3 linked regions of the Struthio camelus genome follow. The protein of the gene in region 2 interacts with the protein of the main gene of each other region in a pairwise test. Links are inferred from orthologs where the notes say so. Each region holds a gene or a part of one and is shown on either strand. Other genes may lie near its edges.

Region 1 (7,445 bases), on a different chromosome or scaffold from region 2:
AGCATTCCTGACAAAGAAATTGCTGCTGGTCTCACCTATTTATAGTTCAAATATTTAAGAGACACAAAGTTACAAGGACCTTTATTGAATGCTCAATAGCTGAGTCCTTAAGTTAAGGTGTGAGAGAGCTTATAGTAAAACTGGAAATAATAAAGCCAGTAGAGTAAAAATGCTTCCATTTCTCAAGTCTGAAAGGATTTTAAATGCTTTTTCAAAAATCACCCTGTTTCAGTCCACAGATGAATATGGGAAAAACACACAGAGCAAAGTCTGTATGTGTTCCTTTCAAGCACCAAAAAATGCTATTTCTGCCCATATTGGATCTGCAGAGAAACAAACTGGCACTGCTCTTTATGTTCAGCTGTAGTTCAAAGCCTCAAATAAGAATAATCTAAGTGCATGTAACGTGAGCTACTTTGCCTTCAGAAACGGACTGAAATTTCTATATAACAAATTTAGCATCACTTATTCATGACACAGAAAATTTTTAAGAACAAGGGTCAAGAACTGCTTAATTACACAAAACATGTAGGAAAAAAGACTTCTTCAATTTGTAGTATTTAGTTATCCCTCCATTCACCATCTCACTCCACATGTTTTTATGCTCAGTGGTACTAACACCATAGCTTGACTGGCTTTGAAAGTACAAACATCCACAACAGACTTGCTTGTAACATAGAGAACCACAGATAAATGCCTAAATCACGTACTCAAGATAGGGGAGATAGTAGTATCTACAAAAATGCTGTTTACAATATGTGCTATGTCAGTATTCTACTCATATGTAGCTTGATAATGGCAGAAAAAGACGACACATGAAACTCTTAAAAATGCTTTAATTTCAAAATTTCATAATTTTAAAGTTTCATAAGAATTGTGGCCTTATCATATCTGAAAGATGTTGTCTAGCTTAAGAACTATTTTATAATATTATTTATTTCCAACACTCTATACTGATCCCCTCCAATGCGTAGACTAAACAATCAGGAAAGGAGAAAAATGTGCTCTCTGGACCCAACCTTTACTGTAAGGAAATTCAGGACGGATCTCACCACAGAATTGCATAGGTTGTTTCTCTTTTTCCTACATAAAGTAAGGTGAAAGGGACTTGAACCCTTTAGATAGTACCTTCAAATGCAGATACAAATGTTGTTCCCACAGTATAAAGTTATATGGAGTACTGGTTTTGGACTCTAATTCTGGCACAAAGATGGCCACCTAGAAATTTGTCTTAGTTTACACCTAATTGTGTAATCACTGTGCAAGAGCTTAGCAAAAACAGCCTGGGCTCCAAAGGTAGCTGTAAAACAAGGCCCTTACGTTTTTATAGAGGCTAGTTCAAGCTGCATAGCAACAATGCTGTTAGCACACTTAATTTAAAAGCGCATCAACTACAGCAATGGCATCTTTTCTGTGAGGTATTAGTATCTTCAAAAAATTACTGTCCTCTTGATTTTCTTCTGCGAATGTGTCCAGATTTCTAAAACACTAGCTTTAAGAGTTACACGTTCACATTAATATTTCACAGGCATCTAACCTGCAACATCATCCCAAGTAGGACGACAATGACGACACAACTATTAAAACCTATCTGGTTGTCATTCGCCAACTCAGATCCAGACACAGCAAGAATTGTACTGATGCAACCCTGCAAAAGCTGCTACATATTCCCAATAACAGATCAAAACTTCTTTTAATATTTTGCCCAAGGTAGTAGTCAGCTCCTCTCGTTGACCACCACATACCTCTCGATAACATGAGCTGCTTCAGAGAGACACTATTTAGAAAGCCAGAAAACGAGAGAACAAGAATTAAATGAGTATGGTTTTAAAACCATCCACGTTAAGGTGAGTTAACCTACACTGGGATAAAGGAAGTTCTGGATTAAAGTAACCTAGATAAAAAGGGACTTACCTGCAACCTTTTAAAAAATAAAACACACACTCCGCAGTCTCTGGCTGACCAGAGAGGTGAGTTAAGGGGGATGTGTGTGACCACGCATCCTGCACCTCGGCCTCACCGATGCACCTCGCTGCCTCCGGGCCGCCAGGGCCGCGTGCGGCGATGCGTGCCGCGGCACCCGCGCGGGCGAGGGTCGCGGGAGCGCCGCGCGTGGGAGGCCCCACCCCGCAGCGCCCGGCCTGGCAGCGGGCTCCGCCGCCTCGGCCGCCCACAGCCCGCCCAGGGCGGAGGGAGCCGCCGCCGCCGCCGCCGGGGGCTGCCCGGCCCGGCCCCCGGCCCTCGCTCCCCGCCGCCGCCGCCGCGCTTCCTGCCGCTGGCAGGCCGGGCCCCGCTCCCCCTCGGGCCTCCGGCGGCTCCCGCTGCCCGCGGGGGGAGGGGCTCGGCGGCCCCCTCCTCCCCCCGCCGCGGCTGGCGGGTCCCGTCTCCCCGGGAATCGCCATTCCCCTCCCCGAGGCCGCGGGCCGGGCCCACCCCCAGCGCGGGGAGGTGGGGCCGAGGGGGAAGCGGGGTCCCGGCGCAGCCCGGCGGGGAGCCCGCACCTTCCCCCGCTGCCCGCACTCCCATACACACACACACACACACACACACACACATACATACATACATACATACATACGCGCACGCACACACGGCGGAGGGTGGCGGCGCCAGGGGAGGGGGAGAGGCTCTGACCTCCTCGCTCTTCAGCACCTCCTTGAACTCCCGCTTGATCCTCTGCACCGCGATGTTAGCCATCTCCGCAGCGGGCACCGACCCGCACCCACTCGCCGCTGCCTCCGCGCCGGGCCCAGCGAGCTCCGCCGCCGCCGCTCTCGCTGGATAACTCCCGGCCCCACCAAAATGGCGCCCGCGCCGAGCATGCGCGCTGCGGCACCCGGCTCTGCCGCTGCCGCCGCCGCCGCTCAGGAGGGGCCGCCGTGTGCGCGGAGCGGAGCGGAGCGGTGCGGGCGCCGAGGCTCCCCGGCGGCGGATGGGGGGCGGGCGCCGGCCGCCGGGGAGAGCGCGAGGGAGGACGGTGCGCGCCGCGCCAACCGCCGCCTCGCAGCCCCTTCCTGCCCGCTGTCCCCGCGGGGCGGCTGCCGCCTCCGTCCGCCGCCGGCCCCAGGGAGGTGCCGGCCGCTCGTCCTGACCCGGGCAGGGCTCGTTTCCTGCGGCGGCGGCTAACGCGGGAGCAGCGCTGGGCCGGCAGAGCCCTTGCGCCGCCCCCCCGCCGGCGGGCCCCGCGCCGCGGCGGAGCTGGGTGGCGGCGGTGCGGTGACACGGCCCCGCCGCCGCCCCCCGCGCAGGAAGCGCCGGCCTCTGCGAGCTGCTCACGCGTCCTCTCCCGCAGCGCCTGGGCAGAGCTAGCCGGGGGGGGGGCTTTCCTCAGCCGAGGGACTCCGTTCACCCCCCTCCCTCTCCCCCCCTTTTTGGGGGGGGGTTAAACGGCAGTACTCTGCGTCTCCCCTGGCTGCGATCCCGCCCTCGAGAGGCTGCTGCCCCTCAGCGGGGACGGAGGGGGCCAGGCCGGGCGGCGGGGAGGCCGCTCGCCCCGCTCCTGCTGCAAGGCGTCGGGAGGCGGGGAGGAGGCGGCGGCTCAGGGCCGCCTAACGGGCTGCTGCGCTTTATTGCAGAAGCAAGCACTGCAAGGCACAGATAACAGAAGACAGAAATAGGTGCCCGTAACCATCCCCGCTTGCCCGAGGAGGGCAAAATGTGGTATGTTATGGGAGAGCGCAGACAGATTTTCAGAAGGGAGTATGAGGTTGCGTTTACGACTGTTGTTCGTTTGGGAAACTAGAGGCTTTCCAGGCTTCAAGGTCTACAGAAACGCTTTACAGGGCCTCCCCTAATAGTACAGTGTAGGGCTGTGTACGGCATAAACGCTTATCCCAACAGGGAGCATTTCTGATTCTTGGGAACCTGACTGTAGTGGCTTATGGTTGGGACTTGTCTGCTCGTGCTGTGGCTGTCCTCTGCAAACACTTCATTTATCTCCAGTGATGCACACAACATTTTCACTGTTATATAAACATTAAAGAAAGTATAGGCCCAATTGATTAAAAAAAAAATCTGGCAGCTGTTTACAGATGCATATATATTTTTTCTCTGTGTATTTACTATTCCCCTGTGATTTGACTGGGAAAAGTCCATTCTCCTGGAACAGTGTTGTATCATGTGCATCTGGCTCATAGAGTCAGCTCTTTCTTTGTATCAAAGCTTGTTTTTGACACAATATGCATTTGACGCAACGTTTTTCCAGTTTTTATTACCTTTCTGAAAAGAACCATTTTGCATTAAGTCTGATTTCTTTTTAATGACTTCCAGTGTAATCTTGGGCCTTCAGCTTCAAAATAATTTAGACAGCTAAGTCCCACTGACGTGCCTAAGTTCCTTTGAGGAGGTAGGCCATAGCTTCGCTATGCCTTAGGTTCCCACCTGTAACATAAGGGTAATAATTCTTATCTGCCATAATAATTCTTATCTGACTCGGAGAGCTCATAACTGAAAGTTAGGTTTATGGTATGCTCAGCTCCCGTTGCATACTATAGGCAAAAATTATAAATGCAGTACATAAAATCCCTGAGTTAAATGCCTTATATCTTTTCAGACAGCCCACGGTAGTAAGAAGCTGAGCTTCTAAATATGCAGAACTTGCTCTGAATGGAGTCGAAAACATGACCTTTATCAAGTGTCAGCATTCTTTGTGTTCCTGTGAGCGTGCTTGTATGTTATAGGTAGTAGACATCCAGTAATAGCCCCAGTAAAGTAAAGGGCAGTGATTTTGCCTGGTTTGTATCTGGGTTCATTTCCATGTGCTCATTTGGATTACAGATGTCAGAGTCTGTTACTGCAAAAAGCAAATCAAATTAATGTGAGTGCCTGTATCTGTTTTCCTTACTATGTTCTTCTCATTTCCTTTATCCTTATATACGCATCTTTCACTTATTTCACGATTGTTTCATATTCATCATATGCTTCACTGGCCCTCCGTTTTAGTTGTCCTTTTTCTGTTCATTTTCTCTCTGGTAAAATAAGGAGAATGTAGGAAGGCTTTTTGGAGAGTAGAAAGAAGTGGTGGTAAGTCCTACCACAATTAGAGTACTGCATGTAATCAGTACCTGATGTAATGAGTATGCTGGGGCTGTCATATTATAGCTTTTATAATATTTTATAGTTTACTATATTACAGAAAACTCTACCTTATTTTAAGCCAGAACAGGACCATAGACTAGCAGTTTCCAAATAATTTTTTTTGGTAGGATAAGAAAAATGCTTAGAAAGAAAACTGCTGAGAAGTAAAATGAGAACATACTCAGCCTCTTCTTGTGATTTCAATGACTTCGCATGTCTGACTTCATAATATACTGTATAGTGTGCTGATAATACTGTTCTGTGTATAACCTCTGAATTAAGTTCTCATTAGTCTTCCACCCTTAGAGAAATCCATATGCAAAATATGAAACAGAAGTTAGTCCTTTGAACATAGCTCATTTTTTGTATTATGAAATCCTGTACTATGTCTTATTTCAAGAGATAGTTCTTCTATTAATCCCATCATCGATTTAGGTTCATAGCAAACAGTTCCTTCAATAACAGCTTTCACAAACTGGCCACAAATCGGTCTATACTTTTGCATGTTGGTGTTGATCATAACTAATAGACTGGGAGGCACAATTCCAGGTATCCATACTTTATTCAGTATGTTTGCTATATTGCTTTGAAATATTTCTAGAACGGGGTGCAGGAAAGTTGGTGAATTAATGGAGGTTCTGACTCCATAAAGTTATTTCAGGAGGAATGTTTAGAGTCAGTTGTCTATAAACTAAGATCGGTGATCTTAAGGCATCACCTGAGGCCCTCAGTACGAAAGGACTGACAATATTCATCACCTCTGCTGGTATAACCAAACATCCTAAACAATGTTTTGTTTCCTGTATTAGATGGTTCAGCCCTACAACCTGTACGTAGGAAATAGTTTTCCCCCTCATTTTCATGGGAAAGTGGCTATTGTACGTGGACAAATTGCATGGGTATGTTGGACTCACTTGCTGCGTATACAATAAAGTCACTGTGTTTATGGTTCTTCTGACTGAGAGTATGGGCGCCCCCCAACCCTAGCGCACTGCCTGGGGGGGCTTCAAAATATTTGTGACAGCACCAGGTAAGATTAAATTTCTGTTCTTCAAATGGTTATTCTTAGAGATGTCTTTATCATTTTCACATTTTTCTATTTTTATTCTCTTTATATCAGTAGGATATTTTTCTGTTAGAATTACTCAGAATTTGGAATTATTTTGTTCCCTCTGATCAGAAGAAGAAAGTGCCGTTTCTGAAACTGTAACTTTCCAGCATGCAACGTTCTGTTCCTTCTTTTGCTGTATCTTCTTTGTGTCTTGCATAACAAGACTATTTCTTCCCCTCATCTTGGCCTCTTTAGTTTAGAAAAATCAGAAATGTCAGGTTTGATCTTCTCTCGTTGTTGCTGGAGGACTTCTTCTAGGACAGCAGAGCTGTCTCAGGAGATTTGTATGGTGATTTCAAACACTTCAGAAGCAAAGGTTGAATCTGTTACATATTTCTTGTTATTGGTTTTTTATCTTCATGAGCCATCCATAGAAGGATTAACCTTACAGGCAGTATTAGTAGTAGATGGTATTCACTTTTCATTTAAATGTTAATATGCTCATTTATAACATGCTTTATTAAAAAAAAAAAGTGACAAAGGAGAAGCCCGAAATATTCAAAAAACTAAGATGTTCTTAAATTTAACCCTTTTTTCCCACCTACCTTACACACTACATCTCTCTTGTTGTCATCCCAAATTTTTAACAGAGAGGTCTGTGTGCCAGAAATTGTCTTTATATACATATCACTTCGCACATTTTGGAGACTGTGAAAATAGATTTAGCCTGCATGATTATTGTCTGTCATGTTGTGTTTCTGTGTGGCAGCGCATCTGGATGACTCAACTCATTCCGAAGATTAGCTTTATCACAAAAATAACTAACTGGTTGTGCAAGTTGACCGAGTTTTAAGTTGTTCTGAACTTTCCTGTTCCTCCTATACGTGTCCACGTCCGGTTTTGTGGACAGGTGTAACAGTGCCCTCTCCTGGATGCAATAGGGCAGATTTGCTTGCTCCTGTGAAAATAGATCCTGCTGCTGGGAAGCTCTTTTGCCTTACAAAGAGCTCACGGCAGTGCTACTGTGTTGTCCAGTCTTTCTTGTTCAGGAGGAGCTTGTAGGAGTTCTGCCATCAGAAACGCTTGAAACAGGAGAACAGAAATTGTTCTGTGTTCCTGATAGAAAGCGGCGGTATTTGTTCAAGCGCTTTCCAAGCTGTATTTTTCATGTCGTTAGCAGCTTGGATATATAAATATATGTGCCGCGGAATACAGCTGGTGTACTCACTAAACATCAGATTCATCTGATGTCATTCGGCTTGAATTCGTATGTTGCAATTCGCCTGACTTAGTGGAGTTAGATGAGAAATTAATCCAG
Region 2 (7,575 bases):
CCCAGCATTTAAAAAAAAATCTGCTAAAGTTCAACATAAGAGTCATAAAAACATGCTTCTCAAGTTCTTCAGCTTTCTATTCCCATGGGAGTGTCCCAGCTGCCTCTGAAACCGGAGGTAGAATAGTAGCACTTCAGGAGCAAAGCAGCTGACAGGACCTCACCTGGAGCTAGACGGTTGTCTCCTCCTTGCTGGAGGAGAAGGTTCCGATTTCCCAGAATCTCCTGGGATGGAGGAGGAGAAGAGGCGAAAGCCTAAAATATGCAAAAGGCATAAAGGGAATTTTAGCCAAGCTATAATACAGAGGTGAAAGCAATCAATAGCAGTCTCTCTAGGAGGCCTCACTGCTGTTAATCTTCCTATTGCTAAAGTGCTAGACAGCAATTATTTGGGCCAAAAAATCTGAGAGGAACCAGATAAGGCACAGAGATCATAACGTCAACATGCCAGTCCTTAGTGATATCAACACAAATTCTTCCACTGCAAGCGCTCTGCAATTAGTTGTGTGTATAACTGGCACTGGAGAGCATCCATGCCACTTATTATTAATTAACAATGTCCGAAGAGAGCCACAATGGCTGTGACTAGAACTCACCATCATCTCCAGAGTCAGACTCTTGCACAGAAGTTTGTGAAGGTCCTGATGAATCCTTCAAGACAGTGATAAAACTAAGCAGAAAACCACAGTCAGATAGGTTTGTGCAGCCAAACTGAGATAAAGTTGGATACTTCTAGGAAACAAGACTGTAGGGAGATGTTACATAGTTTCTTTCTTTTTCCTAGTGAAGTGGTTTCATTTTGCCCTTTCAGAGCAGACCATGCCTTCACCTCTTACCATCACATGCCATAAGCATGACTTGCAAGCAACATTTCAAAAAGCCCACTCAGAACACCAGGAGTTCTAGTTCTTAGAGCCATGTGTACGCAATAAAGACAGCGGCACCCACAGTCAGAGGCAGCTTGTGAACACAGCGTGCTGCCAGCACAACTCTGAACATTTTAGATTGTAAGAATAAATGAAAGAGTCGCATGCCAGCCTTTAAGTGGCTCCCTGTTACATGTTCACCACAGAGGTGAACGGAGACAGGCTGTACCGCACAGGAGGCCTGTACAAGAGGAGCACAGCACATGGGCCAGGTCAGCTCACAGAAGAGTGGAAGCTTGCAGTAGATACAGGAACGAAGGGGACAAGCAAATAAACAATTTGTCCTTCATATCCTCATTGCTCTCAAATCTTTAATTTCCCATTTTTAGAACGCAAAAACATCAGTGCTACTTTACCCCCAGAATAAACCTTTTAATATCACATGCCAATACCCGTCTAGCATTGCTCCCAGTTTCTTTGCGACATGTGCTCTGAATTCTGGTGTGGTCTGTAGCTCATTTCCATCCTCATCATGACCATTCACCTTGCGCCTGTTTAAAATAAGAACAATGATGATCTCTTTCAAGGCCAATAAGATCTGCTGCTCTCATCCACACAGGAGACAAGCAACTGAAAAGCCTCCTAGCCTCTAGTAACCTATTCCTACTTAATTGATAGGGAAGACTGCTAAAATGCTGCAAAATAGCTCAGCAGCATCACTTCAGCATCCAAGAGAGAGACGAAAGCTATTTAGGCATCTCCAGGACAGTTAATAATTGGGTGATTTTCACACTGAAAGAGACAACAAGAGCAAACATATGATGTCAGGACATCCCTTTGCTTGCAGGTGGTTCCTGAAGAAAACAACTTTGAGGTACACTGCATAGATGCCACAGGTCTTGCAACATCTGTCCTGGGAGAGAGGATTTTAAGTTGCCAGGCAGAAGGTCTTAGACACAGAATCTACAGGAACATTGTAAACCTGTGTAGGACAACATCACCTTCATGGCAAGTATTTAATTCAGGTGTTGTTTTCCTAGTTGATAAAAGTATCTGGCTTTGCAACCGTAACCTTTTTTTGAAATGGTCTTTCTATGTATAATGCTTTCTTTCTAAGAGGAAAAGAAACTTCATTACATATAATTGTACTAACACCTACACAGGGCCCTTACAAAGGTGGTAGGTGTCTGACACTCTGAACTAAGGCTGTGCGTGAAAGTGCTAATAGCTTTCTACTTCTACACGGACCTGCCGCTAGAGGGATGAGAAACGTACTTAAAGAAATGTTAGCTTTTGGGAGGGTTTAAGCACCGTTGCAGGTCACTGTTGGCCCAGTTTCTGAGAGAGAACAATGCCTTTCGGTAGGGAGCATCCCAAGGCACTAACGGTAGGTAACACAGACACATTACTGCGTTAAATTTTTCTTCACTAGAACAGAATTTTGAAACCAAAGATACCTTAGACTAGGCTGAGCTGTCGGCAAACGAGCCTGTCTAAAACCACCTGCCAAAGAAAGAAAGCAAAAGCAAGTTAGAAAAACCGGTGCCCACAACATCGTTAATCCTGCTCCCGCAGATGTGGTGCTACGCTACAAAGCTTCAGGGGGAAACAGCTCGGGGCGGGGGGAAGGAGGAACTCCCCAGGGGCCCGGCGGTACCCGGGGGCCGCCCCCCGCCCCGGCGGCGCTCCCGAAGCGGCCCGACCCGGCCCGGCGCAGCCCCCCGCGCCGCGGGGACCCGGGGCTGGAGACGCTGCGCGGGGGCCGCGGCCCAAACCCGCCGGAGGACAGAGCCCGGCTGCCGCCGCCCCTCACCGCCAGGCGGCCCCGCCCGCGCCGCCGCCTGCCCGGCGCAGTCCCAGGCGGCCTCCTGGAACCGCTCCGCCGCCGCCGCCGCCGCATCCCTGCCGCTGCCGCCGCTGCTGTCCGAGTCCGAGCCCGAGCCCGCGTCTAGGCGCGAACCGCCCCTGCGCGCCGCCATCTTGAAGCCGCGCCGGCCGCGAGGCACGCTGGGGCTGCGGTCTGGCCGCAAGGCACGCTGGGGGGTGTAGTCGTGCCGCGAGGCACGCTGGGGACTGTAGTCGTGCCGGGCGGGAGCGGCGGGCGCGGAAGGCGGCCTGGGGGAAGGTGCGCTCGGCGGCCTGAGGCCGCCTGCCCGGGCTGTCCGCGGAGCTCTCCTCCGGACTCGCAGCACCCTCCCCGGCCCTTTCCTTCCAAGGCCTGGGGATTTCCGTACAGTATTTTAGCTCCGTTATTTACCTTCACAGATGACAAACACCAGACGCTTCAAAGGATGTTTTACTCAAGCGGGCAGGCAAACCTCAGCGTGCTCACGGGCCTTTGACGTGCGGCAGTTTTGAGAGATACAGTGCGGGGGGGGGGAGGAAAAACAAAAGAAAGAAGACGGCCTGTCACCTGCCAGAAATTGCTCTATGATTTCCCACCTTTCTGCTGTGGTGTTGGAAACCGAGGAGCAAAGTGAACAGACGGTCTTCGAAACGGCCCTTTTTGTCAAATGAGGGCAAAAAGCCACTAACAGACAGCAACTCTTTAGCACGGAAATGTCAAGGAAGGGTTTTCTCAAATGTGATTTGACACTGAATGAGAGTAACAGTGGGCTGAGAATACAGCAGGATAAAACAAAGAATGGAGGGCTTGGATTCCTGATGTATGTACGACCCCTTCGTAAGTAGAATTTTAGGAAGCACTTTGGGCGTACTGGAAATGCCAACATTATATTTGTCAGTTTTGTCAGTCAGCCCTGAAGAAGAGAGGAAATCCACGTGCACTAGTACGCCAACGGGAATGAACTGGCGACCGCGGTACAACAAGCGTTCTCTAACTCTAGCAGCTACCAGCCACACTGAAGAATGATATACATGACACCATTAGAAAAAAGAAATTCACACATATAGATATGTCCCCGTTACACATGTGATATACAGCTCTTTGAAAGCTAGTAATTTATGGGCTTCAAAAAAGCAAGCGTTCCCTTGCATCCTTTATTATTGCCATTCAATTCAATTAGGCTTTAGCAGTGGGAGAAAATCTGAGTGTGCCATCCATATTCTCCATCTGACCTACTATTTTAAACAAATCTGTCCTCTCCAATGAACCTTGTCTGTAAGCAAGATTAAAATTTTCATCATCTTCTTGTACGTAATCCTTTCCATTCATCCACCATTCATCTTATTCACTGCCTTCCTCTGGATCCCTTCTACTTTAAAAAGGAAGCACTCACTACAAGTGGAACGGGGACACTGTAAATACGTCCCTGCAGAAACGCATAATAAAATCATTCCATTCTTCAGAGACCTAAAACGTAAATAAAACGCTGGATACATCCCCTGGCTGTGCCGCCTGTGGCAGCAACTGCTCCTCGGATTGCTTCAGCTACCCTACGAGGCCCAAACGGCAAGGGCTGACCTTACACCTGCTCCCCTGAGGACAACACTGAAGCACCGCTTCGCCGCCGCGGGCGGGAGGGACCGTGGCTGCGCCCCGCCGCCAGGCTGCCTCCGGGGCAGGCCGCGGCCCGCCTCGGCCCGGCTCCTGCCAGGGGAGAGGGGCGCGCCCGCCGCCCGCCGCCCGCCGCCTCCGCCGGAGGCGCCCCCGCAGCAGGCCAGCCCTCGCCGACGGAGGGGGGCGGCCGGCCGGTCCCTTCCCGTCCCGTCCCTTCCCGTCAGGGCCCGGCTTCCGGGGCAGCAGGTGACGGCGGCGGCGGCGGCGGGCGGCGCGGCTCCGTGGCTCGGCTCCGTGGCTCGGCGGGACCCGCCGGTGAGACGCGCCGAGACGCGGCCGGCTGGCGGCGGAGGGGCCGGGGGGGCCGGGGCCTGGCGGCGGCGGCGGCGGGGCGGGCCCGGGCCGCGGTTACAGGCCGCGGTCAGCGAGGCGGGCGGCGGCGGCGGGCCGGGCCGGGCCGGGCCGGGCGGGGGTTCCCGGGGCGGTTTTCCTTTCCCTCCCCGGTGCCGGGGAGCGAGGCGGCGGCCGGGCGCGGCGGGCTGCTGGCCGCTGGCTCTGCTTGCGGCACGCCGGGCTCCTCTTGTGCACGTTTCGGTGCCAGCCCGGTTAGCCCGCTTTAGGGGCCTTTGATTCTAACAAATATTTTACATAACGCCCCGGACCAGGAAAACGTTCAGGTGATACCACCCAGCTGGTTATAGCAGATTTCTTTTTTTCCTTTGGACTTCCTGAGGCAGGAGGATAACATCTCTTCTTCGAGTCTATGATACAGGTTTTATGGAATCGTTTAAAGAAAAAGAACGATCTGAATCCCGTGCTTTTTTGAGAGCTTGTAAGCGTGTCGGGAGGCATGTCGAGTCCCCCGGGCAGCCTCTCCGCGCGCCTCGCGTCCTGGAAGCGGTGCCCGCGGTGCAGGCGCGCTGCAGAATCCCGGTTAACGAAACGGGGCCGCGCGACGGCTCGTCGCTCCGTGAGCAAAACAGATGCGTTCGCCAGATCAAGCCGGTGGGCAGGCTTGTGGTTGGGTCCGCTTTCTGTAATACTAAGAAGCAGGTGCATGATGGCATGGAGTTTCTGGGAAGTGGAAAGGTGTGCTCGCAGAAAAGGGTTTGGAGGAGTTAACATGTAACGTGTTTGGGAGGCTGAATGGAATAAAAAGGTGGTGAGATAAATGCGTGTTTAATAATTAACTGTAGGACTTCAGTCATGTATTTACTATGAGTATCTATCTTAAAATGACTATCAAGAAGTAAATGTTCTTCTAGGCACTGTCAATGATTATCTTAATTGAAGTCCAGACAACTCGAATACTTTTAAGTATCAGATTTTTCTTAGACTTATGATTAGGTACGTTTATATAAAATCTTGGTAATATTCTTAGAATTTGATAAAACTTCTAACATTAATACTTTCTCTTTTTTTAATTTGTCATATCTGCATCCGAAAATCACAGTCACAGTAATTATAAGAAAAGTAGCCTAACAAATCTTCCTTCGCACTTAAACAGAAAGAAGTTCAGAAACTAAATGAGAACTTGTATCACAAACTAGACCTAGATTGTTTCAATTTGCGTAATCTCAGATAAGATACGTCTCATTAACAAAAGAAATATGGGAGTGTGTCTTTCTAGTAGAATTTCTAATCCAACAGTGCTGTTCTTTTTATTTCATTGTTATATATTAGACATTGCAAAAATAAATAAAAGGTATGTTTTATGAATAAACAAGCCAGAGTTCTGTAGCCTTGCTGAGATTTTTTTCTTCATGCTCATGAAGGAACATTACAAAGTAAATTTTTCAAACATTCTAATGTTACAGTGCTATGAGCATATATTCCACAATTGTTTCTCACAGAGTGACATCAGCTTTTAATTTATATTCTCTCTCTCTCTCTCTCAGGTTGAATTACTGTTCACCTGCTGTGTTTCCAATGGAATTTTTTGCATGGTTTAACTTATGGTGGAAGCTGTCCCAGTCTGTCCTGAAAAGTTTCTGTTGTTTTTTAGAGGCAGGTCAGTGTACTTCGGCAAATGTAGTAATTTTTCTTGCTAAGTTAAGAAACATCATCTTTTACAGGATCCATTGGGCTCACATATTTCTCTTGTGCAGTTTCTCATACTAGCTCTATGGTTTTTTTTTTCTTTTTTTAAATTTTAAAAATATTTACTCAAATTTATTTCTCACTGCTTGTTCGTGAGACTTGTATTAATACAGTCCTTACTGATTTCCTCCACTTCTTTCATGGACCACCTGCGCTTGCAGCTGTCCCGCAGCGCTCAGGTCCCAGTGTGCCGTTTACTTCTCAGGGGTCCAAGTTTGCCAGCTCTATCAGCCATACTTTTTCTTTGGACAGCACAGTGGGATGCACGCTGGATCCCTAGACGTACATCTTCTCTGCCATGCCTTCTTCACCCTCCATCCCTTCCAGCACGCTTTATTTAGGCAGACTACTTCATTTGTTGCCAATCTTGATTCTCTGGATGCAGTAGTTGTCAGCGATGTAGTCATTTTTCAGAGCAATCTGTTGGGATATCACAGGAGGTGATGACTTAAATGAAACAAACAGCAGATATAGATGGCTCTTAAGTACAAAGATATTATTTTCCCATACATGTCTAGAGAACAAAGAAGGGCAGGAAAATCTTTGCATGCTTGCCATTAGATCTCAACTGATTTTTATATCCTTTCACTTGTTTTGTTTGCCACTCATCATGCCTCTGAGGTTGGATTTAAGAGCTGATCTGAAGGACGAGGGTTTAGCAAACTTGGACTGGCATCTGTCCAGCCAGTCCTCTCTACGTTCTATTTACTTAACCCCAAAAGTCGTGGTGTGTCCCAGGGCACTTGCAATCTTCCTTTTTTCTGATTTCTAGATCAAACAGAAACTGGGCTCCGTTTGGCCTGGTTTGCTGTTTTTTTAAGTTTTGTCTCTGAGTTTAAAGTAGTTCAGGTGACATTTCTACAGTTTTGAACTTGTTCTACACTTGGACAAATTGAATTTGTGGTTGAACTGCTACTTTAGGATTCACAGGCTAAGCTCATGAGTGATGCAGCGTACAATTATCAAATGCACCTTTTAGTCATCAGACGCTGTTTCATGCTTGCTTCATCGTATATGCAGCGTGCTTTGCAGATGAACACACCCCTACAGGGCCTGCTATAGTCCTAGTTGTATTAAACAGTATTCCACAGACAAAAGCAAAGGATTTAGAAGGTTTTTCAGAGTAAGATTGCTTTTTGGTTATTTTTGT
Region 3 (7,296 bases), on a different chromosome or scaffold from region 2:
GGGCTGGAGCCGCGTCACTGCCTCGAGCTGCGGGAAGAGCCGAGGGCCAGGCGAGGGTTTGGCCCCCCACCGGGGCCGTCCGCATCGAGCCGGGGGCTGCCTGCCCCGCTCGGGGTCCCCCTCTTACCTCGCCGGCTGGGAGAGGTTGGCGAAGTGGTGGGGCGCGCGGCTGTGGTGGGGCTCGGTCCCCAGCGTGGCGTGGAGCGGCGAGGGGGCCGGGCCGGCGCCCGGCGGCCGCTGGAAAAAATAAAGCTGGGAGGGAGAAAAAATAAAAGGAGGGAATGAGTGGGGGGGTCCGGCGTCCCCAGAGCGGCGCTCCCCCCGGCCCGCGGCGAGCGGTACCTTGCAGCAGACGGCGAGCAGGGCGTGCAGGGCGACGACGGCGGCCAGCAGGGCCAGGGCGGCCGCCCGGCCCTCGGCCCGCACCAGCGGCCAGAAGGTGAGCGCCAGCACCGAGGCCGAGAGCAGCGCGGCCACGGCCAGCAGCAGCCACTGCAGCCAGGCGGCCGGGATCAGCCACAGCACCTGCGGGGACGGCGGCGGCGTCAGCTCCGCTGGGGGACGCGGCCCCACCGCCGCCGCCCCGGGGACTCACCGCTGTGGGGATGTAGACGAAGAGCGAGTAGCCGTAGACGCAGACCGTCTCCAGGAAGCTGTAGGAGCTGCCGCGCGCCCCGGGGCCCCGCCGCCACCGCAGGTAGCCCCAGAGCGCCAGCGGCACCAGCCAGGCGTAGCAGTAGACGACGGTGGCGGCGATGGTGACTGCGGAGGGGACGGGACGGGGACAATGAAGGCAAAGCCCGGGCTGCCCCGTCCCCTTCCCCGCGTCCCCCCGCCAGCCCGGGGCCTCGCACCTTTGTGGAACTGGGGGCTGTAGTGGAAGGAGGGGGACGCCTGCTTCTCCGGCAGGTGGGACAAGTTGCCGCTGATGGCCAGGGCGAACACGAGGGTGGCGCAGATCCAGAAGGGCCCTGGGGAGGGGAAAGCGGGTGGGCGGTCGGCGAGGGGCCGGCCCCGGGGCGCCGGCAGGCGCCCGGCCAGCGGCAGCTCTGCCCTCTCACCGTACAGGTCGGGGTTGTTCCGCAAGCGGTGGCGCACAAAGTTCTTCCCCGGCAGCGGCGTCACGGAGCCCTTGATCCTGTCCAGCACCTGCCGGCGGGCGACGGCGTCTCAGAGGCGGCGGGCGCCGAGGAGCCGGGCCGTCCGGCCGCCGCGACCGCCGCTACCTGGTGGGTGTCGACGTCGAAGAAAGCCTGGTAATACTCGAAGGTCCAGAAGCTGCGCGGCTGCTGCTGCCCGCCCAGGAGCTGCGGGCGGAGGAAGGGCCGTGAGCGCGGGGCCGCGGCCGGGGGCCTCCGCTCCCCGTGGTGCCGGCGGCGGCGGCGGCTGCGTCACCTCGGCGCTGTCGGCGTCGGCCCCCGGCTCGCCCTCCTCGCAGCCGGGCCCCAGCTCCACGGCCGCGTGGCTCGGCCGCTCGCCCGCCGGCGGCTCCGCCGCCTCCTCGAGCTCTGCGCGGTGACGGTCGGCGTCAGGCGGCCGCGAGGGGCCCGGCGCCGCGGCGGGGGGGGCCGCGGCGGGGGGGCCCCGGCTCTGCCCCGACGTCGCGCCGGGACTCACCGTGAAACCGCAGCTCGGCGGACGCCGCCATGGCGGGGTCTCTCGCTGCGGGAGCGAGACGTGAGGCGGTTGGGGCGCCCCCCCCCCCCCACCAGCACCGGGACCCCCCCCCGGACCCCCCCCAGCATCCCAGGCCCAGTATCCCCAGGGCCCCCTCTGGCACCGGGACCCCCCCCCGGGCATCCCGGGCCCAGTATCCCCAGGACCCCCCAGCACCAGGACCCCCGGGACCCCCCCCGGAACCCTCCCGGCATCTCGGGCCTGGTATCCCCAGGGACCCCCCCAGTACCCCCCAGCATCCCGGGCCCAGTATCCCCAGGACCCCTCAGGCCCCCCCAGCACCGGGACCCCCCCGGACCCCCCCCAGCATCCCAGGCCCAGTATCCCCAGGGCCCCCTCTGGCACTGGGACCCCCCCACCGGCATCCCGGGCCCAGTATCCCCAGGACCCCCCAGCACCAGGACCCCCGGGACCCCCCCCCGGTACCCTCCCGGCATCTCGGGCCTGGTATCCCCAGGGACCCCCCAGCACCCGGACCCCCGGGACTCCCCCAGGACCCCGCAGCCCCCCCCGGCACCAGGACCCCCGGGACCCCCCCAGGACCCCCCAGCACCCCCCGGCACCAGGACCCCCGGGACCCCCCCCCGGAGCTCCCCCGGCATCCCGGGCCCGGTATCCCCAGGACCCCCCGGCACCGGGACCCCCGAGACCCCCCCCCAACATCCCGGGCCCGGTATCCCCAGGACCCCCCAGCACCAGGACCCCCGGGACCCTCCCCGGTACCCTCCCGGCATCTCGGGCCTGGTATCCCCAGGGACCCCCCTAGTACCCCCCAGCATCCCGGGCCCAGTATCCCCAGGACCCCTCAGGCCCCCCCAGCACCGGGACCCCCGGGACCCCCCCGGACCCCCCCCAGCATCCCAGGCCCAGTATCCCCAGGGCCCCCTCTGGCACCGGGACCGGCCCCCCCACCGGCATCCCGGGCCCAGTATCCCCAGGACCCCCCCCCCGGTACCCTCCCGGCATCTCGGGCTTGGTATCTCCAGGGACCCCCCAGCACCCCCCGGCACCAGGACCCCCGGGACCCCCCCAGGACCCCGCAGCCCCCCCCGGCACCAGGACCCCCGGGACCCCCCCCCCGGAGCTCCCCCGGCATCCCGGGCCCGGTATCCCCAGGATCCCCCCGGCACTGGGGCCTCCGGGACCCCCCTCCAGCATCCCGCGACTCCCAGGACCCCCCGGGACCGGCACCGCCTGGGTCAGGACCCGCCAGCCCCGCCGTGGGGCTGCACCGGGACCCCCATAACCCCCCCCGGGGACTCCTGGGCCTGGACCGGGACCCCCCGGCTCCTCCCGGTCCCCCCCCACCCCGGTTCCCCCCCCCCCCGGTACCCGGCCCGGCCCCGCGGACGTGGCTCCCCCCCCCCGCCGCCGCCGCCGCGATGGTTCCGCCCGGTCCGTCCCCGTGTCCGGCCCCCCCGGCCCCGCCCCCCCGCCGCGATGGTTCCGCCCGGTCCGTCCCCGTGTCCGGCCCCCCCGGCCCCGCCCCCCCGCCGTCATGGTTCCGCCCGGTCCGTCCCCGTGTCCGTCCCGGCCGGAGCCACTTCCGGCGCCGCTCGCGGCCATGGCGGCGGCGGGGGAGGCGGCGGCCCCGGCCCCGGCCCCGGCCCCGGCCCCGGCCCGGGGGAGCGGCGGGCTCTGGGCGCGCATCGCGGGGAGCCGCGCCGGTGAGGGCCGGGCTGGGGGGGTCCAAGGGGGCCCCGGACTCCTGGGACCTTTGGAGGGGGGGATTGGGGGGGTCCCCGGACTCCTGGGCCCATTGAAGGGGGGGGTTGGGGGGGGTCTGCCCGGACTCCTGGGCCCATTGAAGGGGGGGGTTGGGGGGGTCCCCGGACTCCTGGGCCCATTGAAGAGGGGGCTGGGGGGGGCTGCCCGGACTCCTGGGCCCATTGAAGGGGGGGGTTGGGGGGGGTCTGCCCGGACTCCTGGGCCCATTGAAGGGGGGGGTTGGGGGGGTCCCCGGACTCCTGGGCCCATTGAAGAGGGGGCTGGGGGGGGCTGCCCGGACTCCTGGGCCCATTGAAGGGGGGGGTTGGGGGGGTCCCCGGACTCCTGGGCCCATTGAAGAGGGGGCTGGGGGGGGCTGCCCAGACTCCTGGGCCCATTGAAGAGGGGGCTGGGGGGGGGCTGCCCGGACTCCTGGGCCCATTAAAGAGGGGGCTGGGGGGGGCTGCCCGGACTCCTGGGCCCATTGAAGAGGGGGCTGGGGGGCTGCCCGGACTCCTGGGCCCATTAAAGGGGGGGTTGGGGGGGCTGCCCGGACTCCTGGGCCCATTGAAGAGGGGGCTGGGGGGCTGCCCGGACTCCTGGGCCCATTAAAGGGGGGGTTGGGGGGGCTGCCCGGACTCCTGGGCCCATTGAAGAGGGGGTTATGGTGGTCCCCGGACTCCTGGGCCCAGGCTGGGGCAGGGGGGGCAGCCCCCTCCCCGCTGACGGCGCCTGGGCGCAGGGCGCTGGTGGCGGGCGCTGCTGCAGGACTACGCGGAGGCGGCGCGGGAGGCGGCGCGGGGGGCTCGGCGCCGGCCCGGCCGGGCTGCGGGCTGCCTGGCCCTGCTGGCCGGGGCGGCCGCCTGCGGCGCCGCCGTCCCCGGCGCCGGCTCCTTCGAGGCGGCTCTGCTGGAGGCCGCCGGCTCCCTGCTGCTCCTCTCGCCGTGGATCCGCAGCGGCGTCGCCGAGGGGCACGTGCAGCGCCTGCTGCGGCTGCGGGACCGGGGCCAGCTGCGCTACCGGAACCTCGTCTTCTTCGCCCTGGTCTACGAGGCGCCTTTCGACGCCCAGGCCGGCCTCTACCTGGCGCAGTGCCGCTACCTGCAGCCCCGCTGGCGCGAGCTCCCGGCCCGCGTCCTCGACGTGGGCTTCTGGGGACGCTGGTGGGTTCTGCGCGCCAAGATGAGGGACTGCGACATCAACGAGGAGGAGTTCAGGTTCCTGCCCGAGCACCTCCGCGCCGTCTCCTTCCACCACCTCCACTCCGAGGCCAACGAGAAGCTCTTCGAGGAGCGGTACCAGCCCGTCGTCCTGACGGAGGAGCAAATCGAGCGAGCGGAGAAGGAGCCGCCGCCGCCGGGCGCCGCGGGCCGGTGACTGAGCGACGCAGCGGCCGTTCGGCGCCGCTCAATAAAGGCGGCGGATGTCTCGACGCGCGCCGCCGCCTCCTTCGTGCCGCCTCGGCGGGGACGGCGCTTGGCGGGGCGAATGCGGCGCCCGGCGGCGGGAAGCGTCTCGGCCCCGCGCCCTCCGCCTCCATCCCTGCGCCGCTCCCGCGGGATGCGGCAGAGGGTGCTGCCGAGCTGCGAGACCTCCGCGTCCCGGCCCCGGCCGGCCGCGTCGCCGCCTGCCCCCCACCCGCCGCGGGCAGGGGGGCGCGGGGTCCCGCCGGCGAGGGTCTCGGGCGGCTCGCGCTCGCAGGAAACCTCCCTGCGGGACGCGGCCGAACCCCTCTTCCCCCCCCTAGGGAAACGCAGGGCGACGCTCGCACCGACCGCGCGCTGCGGGCGTTCGCCCCGGGCTGGGTTTGGGGCCTCGCTAGCGGCCCGGCGTCTCTCCGACGCCCCCCCGGGCTCCCCAGCGACCCCCTAACTATCGATTAACCCTTTATTGCGGCATCTGTCGTTCGCGCGTTGACTCCTCGTGGGATTATTCACGGCCGGTATCCAGCACAGAGCGCGGCTGCGCGTTTGCCGCCGCGGCCGGGATGTTTTAGATCGGGGTTTGCTGCCGCCGAGTATCGGGGTAAATCCGCGCCGGAGCGGTTCCCCAGCGAGGGTTTCCCTCCTCCGCCGCTCGCGGCGGCGCTTCTCCCCGTCTTCGCGGCGCTGCGCTCGCCCCCGTTAAGACGAAGGTGGTTTTAACGGGGTCCGACGTTGCCACCGAGACGGCGGCGCCCACCGCTCTTAACTGCGATCGCGCCTGCCGTTATCCCGGGGAGGGGGGGGGGAAGAGCGGGGAGGAATTAATTTGTCGGGAACGCCCGGAATTGGGGCGTTTCGGGGGGGGAAGCGGAGTTTGCAAGGCGCCGTCTCGCTCTAAGGGCCCCGCCGCCCGTTCCCGCGCTCGGATTTGGGGGCGGCTCCCGGGAAATGAATCCCCGGGAAATTCGACGGCGCGTCGGCCCCGCGGAAGCGGCCGGTGGCCTCGGTCCAACCTCGGAGTCGCGTCCTGGCTTAATTAACGGCCTTGCCAGGAAACGCTAATCACAGCTGGAGCGGGGGCTCGCGCCGAGGGAGTGCGGCGCCGGGCGTTCAGTTTGCCCCTCGGCTTAATTGTTTCTCGGCGTTTCGTTATTTCCCGTTTGCGTCGGCCTCCGGCTCCGTCGCTCCCCTTCCCCGATTTCGGCTTTTCCCGCGCGCTTCGCCCTAAGGGGTGCGTTTCCTTTTCCGAAGCTCGGCCGGCCGGCGTCCTCCCCGCGATCCAGCCCGTCTCCCCTTAAAGCCAGCTCCGGGTCGGGACCGGCTCGGTCCCGCGCGTCGCATGATGCCGACGGCTCCCGTCCGCGTCCAGCAACTCCCTTCCAAAAAGAAAAAAGGAAAAAATCCGTATTTTGGCAAGCGCGTCTTAAAACAGCCACAACCCAGCCCCGATTCGGCGCGATTTGTTTGGGGAACGGCACGCCGGGCGCTCGGCCGCGCTCGATTTCTTGTCGTACGTTCGCAGGCGCTTTTCCGCAGACTTTGGCCTCTCCGTCGGGCGCCCGGGGCTCGGCAACGGGTTTGGTCTTAACGAGCAGAAAGCTCGTTGGGACGTCGTCGGCCCCGACGCCTCCCGCTCTCTCCCGGGACCGAGGCGTCCCAGGCGCAGACGGGGCGGCCGTGCCGGGCTGGCGGCTCTCCTGCAACGCAGGCTCACGAGCAGGTGTTTTAACACGGTTTTATATATATTTTTTTCCCCCTTTGTTTTACGCTTTCCCTCGCCGGAACGACGGCAAAACCGGCTGGGAAATCCTCACGGAAAATACCGAGCGTTGGCAGCTTTTTCCCGTCGTGCAAGCGCAGTGGGTTTTGAGTCTCCCCGCTTCTGCGCGGCGCCGTTCTTAGCCGCGAGCTTGTTTCCCCGCGGGGCGATCGTCCGCTTGGCGGGGTTTCGCTTCGAAATCCCTCCCTCCTCAGGGAGCCGGGCTGTCGCCCCCGATCCCGTAGCGGTCGGCCGGCCGCCAGGGCCGGGGAGGAGGAGGAAAAGGAAGAAAACCGACGGGCGCTGAAGGGGTCGGGCTGGCGGCGGCGCCGCATCGGTCCTGCGCCGACGGCAGCTCTGTGGCTTCAGGAGGGCAGGGAAAAACGCACATCTCCCACGTCGCCGTCAGCGGCTCCGCTTCGTTTATGCTCCTTTTAATTAAGAGTAGGATTTGAGACCTCCCCCCCCCCCGTTTTGTTTTTTTTTAACATCTCGAGCAAGGGCTTCAGCCCTCTCGGTGAAGGAAGGAGAGCGATTTTTGCTGCGAGACAGCAGAAATCAGCGGTCGCCCTTGCTGCAGCGAAAGCTAATTTTGGGGGGCGAAGCGAAGGGATCGCAAGGCGTTTGGCTCGCTCGGGAGTTTGCGGCCCGGAGGGGGCGTTCCGTGGCGATTTGTGCAGGTAAAACGTGGAAGTTCGGAGCTAGCTCCAAAACACGAGCCCCCTTTTT

The links.
Region 1: the proteins of RNF185 (region 2) and UBE2K interact in binary tests that used the Homo sapiens proteins (3 or more experiments, as listed by UniProt). The link is inferred for Struthio camelus from reciprocal best matches to the Homo sapiens genes RNF185 and UBE2K.
Region 3: the proteins of RNF185 (region 2) and YIPF2 interact in binary tests that used the Homo sapiens proteins (3 or more experiments, as listed by UniProt). The two-hybrid records come from large-scale screens. The link is inferred for Struthio camelus from reciprocal best matches to the Homo sapiens genes RNF185 and YIPF2.

Annotation. Positions count from the first base shown.
Region 1 is NC_090945.1:61,646,627-61,654,071, forward strand, and holds the start of UBE2K (ubiquitin-conjugating enzyme E2 K), read right to left. Parts: upstream 3,027-7,445; 5' UTR 2,698-3,026; coding exon 2,635-2,697; intron 2,032-2,634; exon of another isoform or gene 1,915-2,031; intron 1-1,914. UniProt on the Homo sapiens protein: Accepts ubiquitin from the E1 complex and catalyzes its covalent attachment to other proteins. In vitro, in the presence or in the absence of BRCA1-BARD1 E3 ubiquitin-protein ligase complex, catalyzes the synthesis of 'Lys-48'-linked polyubiquitin chains.
Region 2 is NC_090958.1:8,167,310-8,174,884, forward strand, and holds the start of RNF185 (E3 ubiquitin-protein ligase RNF185), read left to right. Parts: upstream 1-4,490; 5' UTR 4,491-4,640; intron 4,641-6,223; exon of another isoform or gene 6,224-6,336; intron 6,337-7,575. Other genes in the region: C17H12orf43 (protein CUSTOS), read right to left, coding at 164-254, 596-669, 1,318-1,416, 2,323-2,368, 2,679-2,844. UniProt on the Homo sapiens protein: E3 ubiquitin-protein ligase that regulates selective mitochondrial autophagy by mediating 'Lys-63'-linked polyubiquitination of BNIP1.
Region 3 is NC_090972.1:4,658,871-4,666,166, reverse strand, and holds the start of YIPF2 (protein YIPF2), read right to left. Parts: upstream 3,097-7,296; 5' UTR 3,010-3,096; intron 1,663-3,009; 5' UTR 1,649-1,662; coding exon 1,618-1,648; intron 1,509-1,617; coding exon 1,396-1,508; intron 1,308-1,395; coding exon 1,227-1,307; intron 1,150-1,226; coding exon 1,062-1,149; intron 972-1,061; coding exon 855-971; intron 763-854; coding exon 596-762; intron 526-595; coding exon 343-525; intron 253-342; coding exon 128-252; intron 28-127; coding exon 15-27; 3' UTR 1-14. Other genes in the region: TIMM29 (mitochondrial import inner membrane translocase subunit Tim29), read left to right, coding at 3,242-3,344, 4,127-4,761.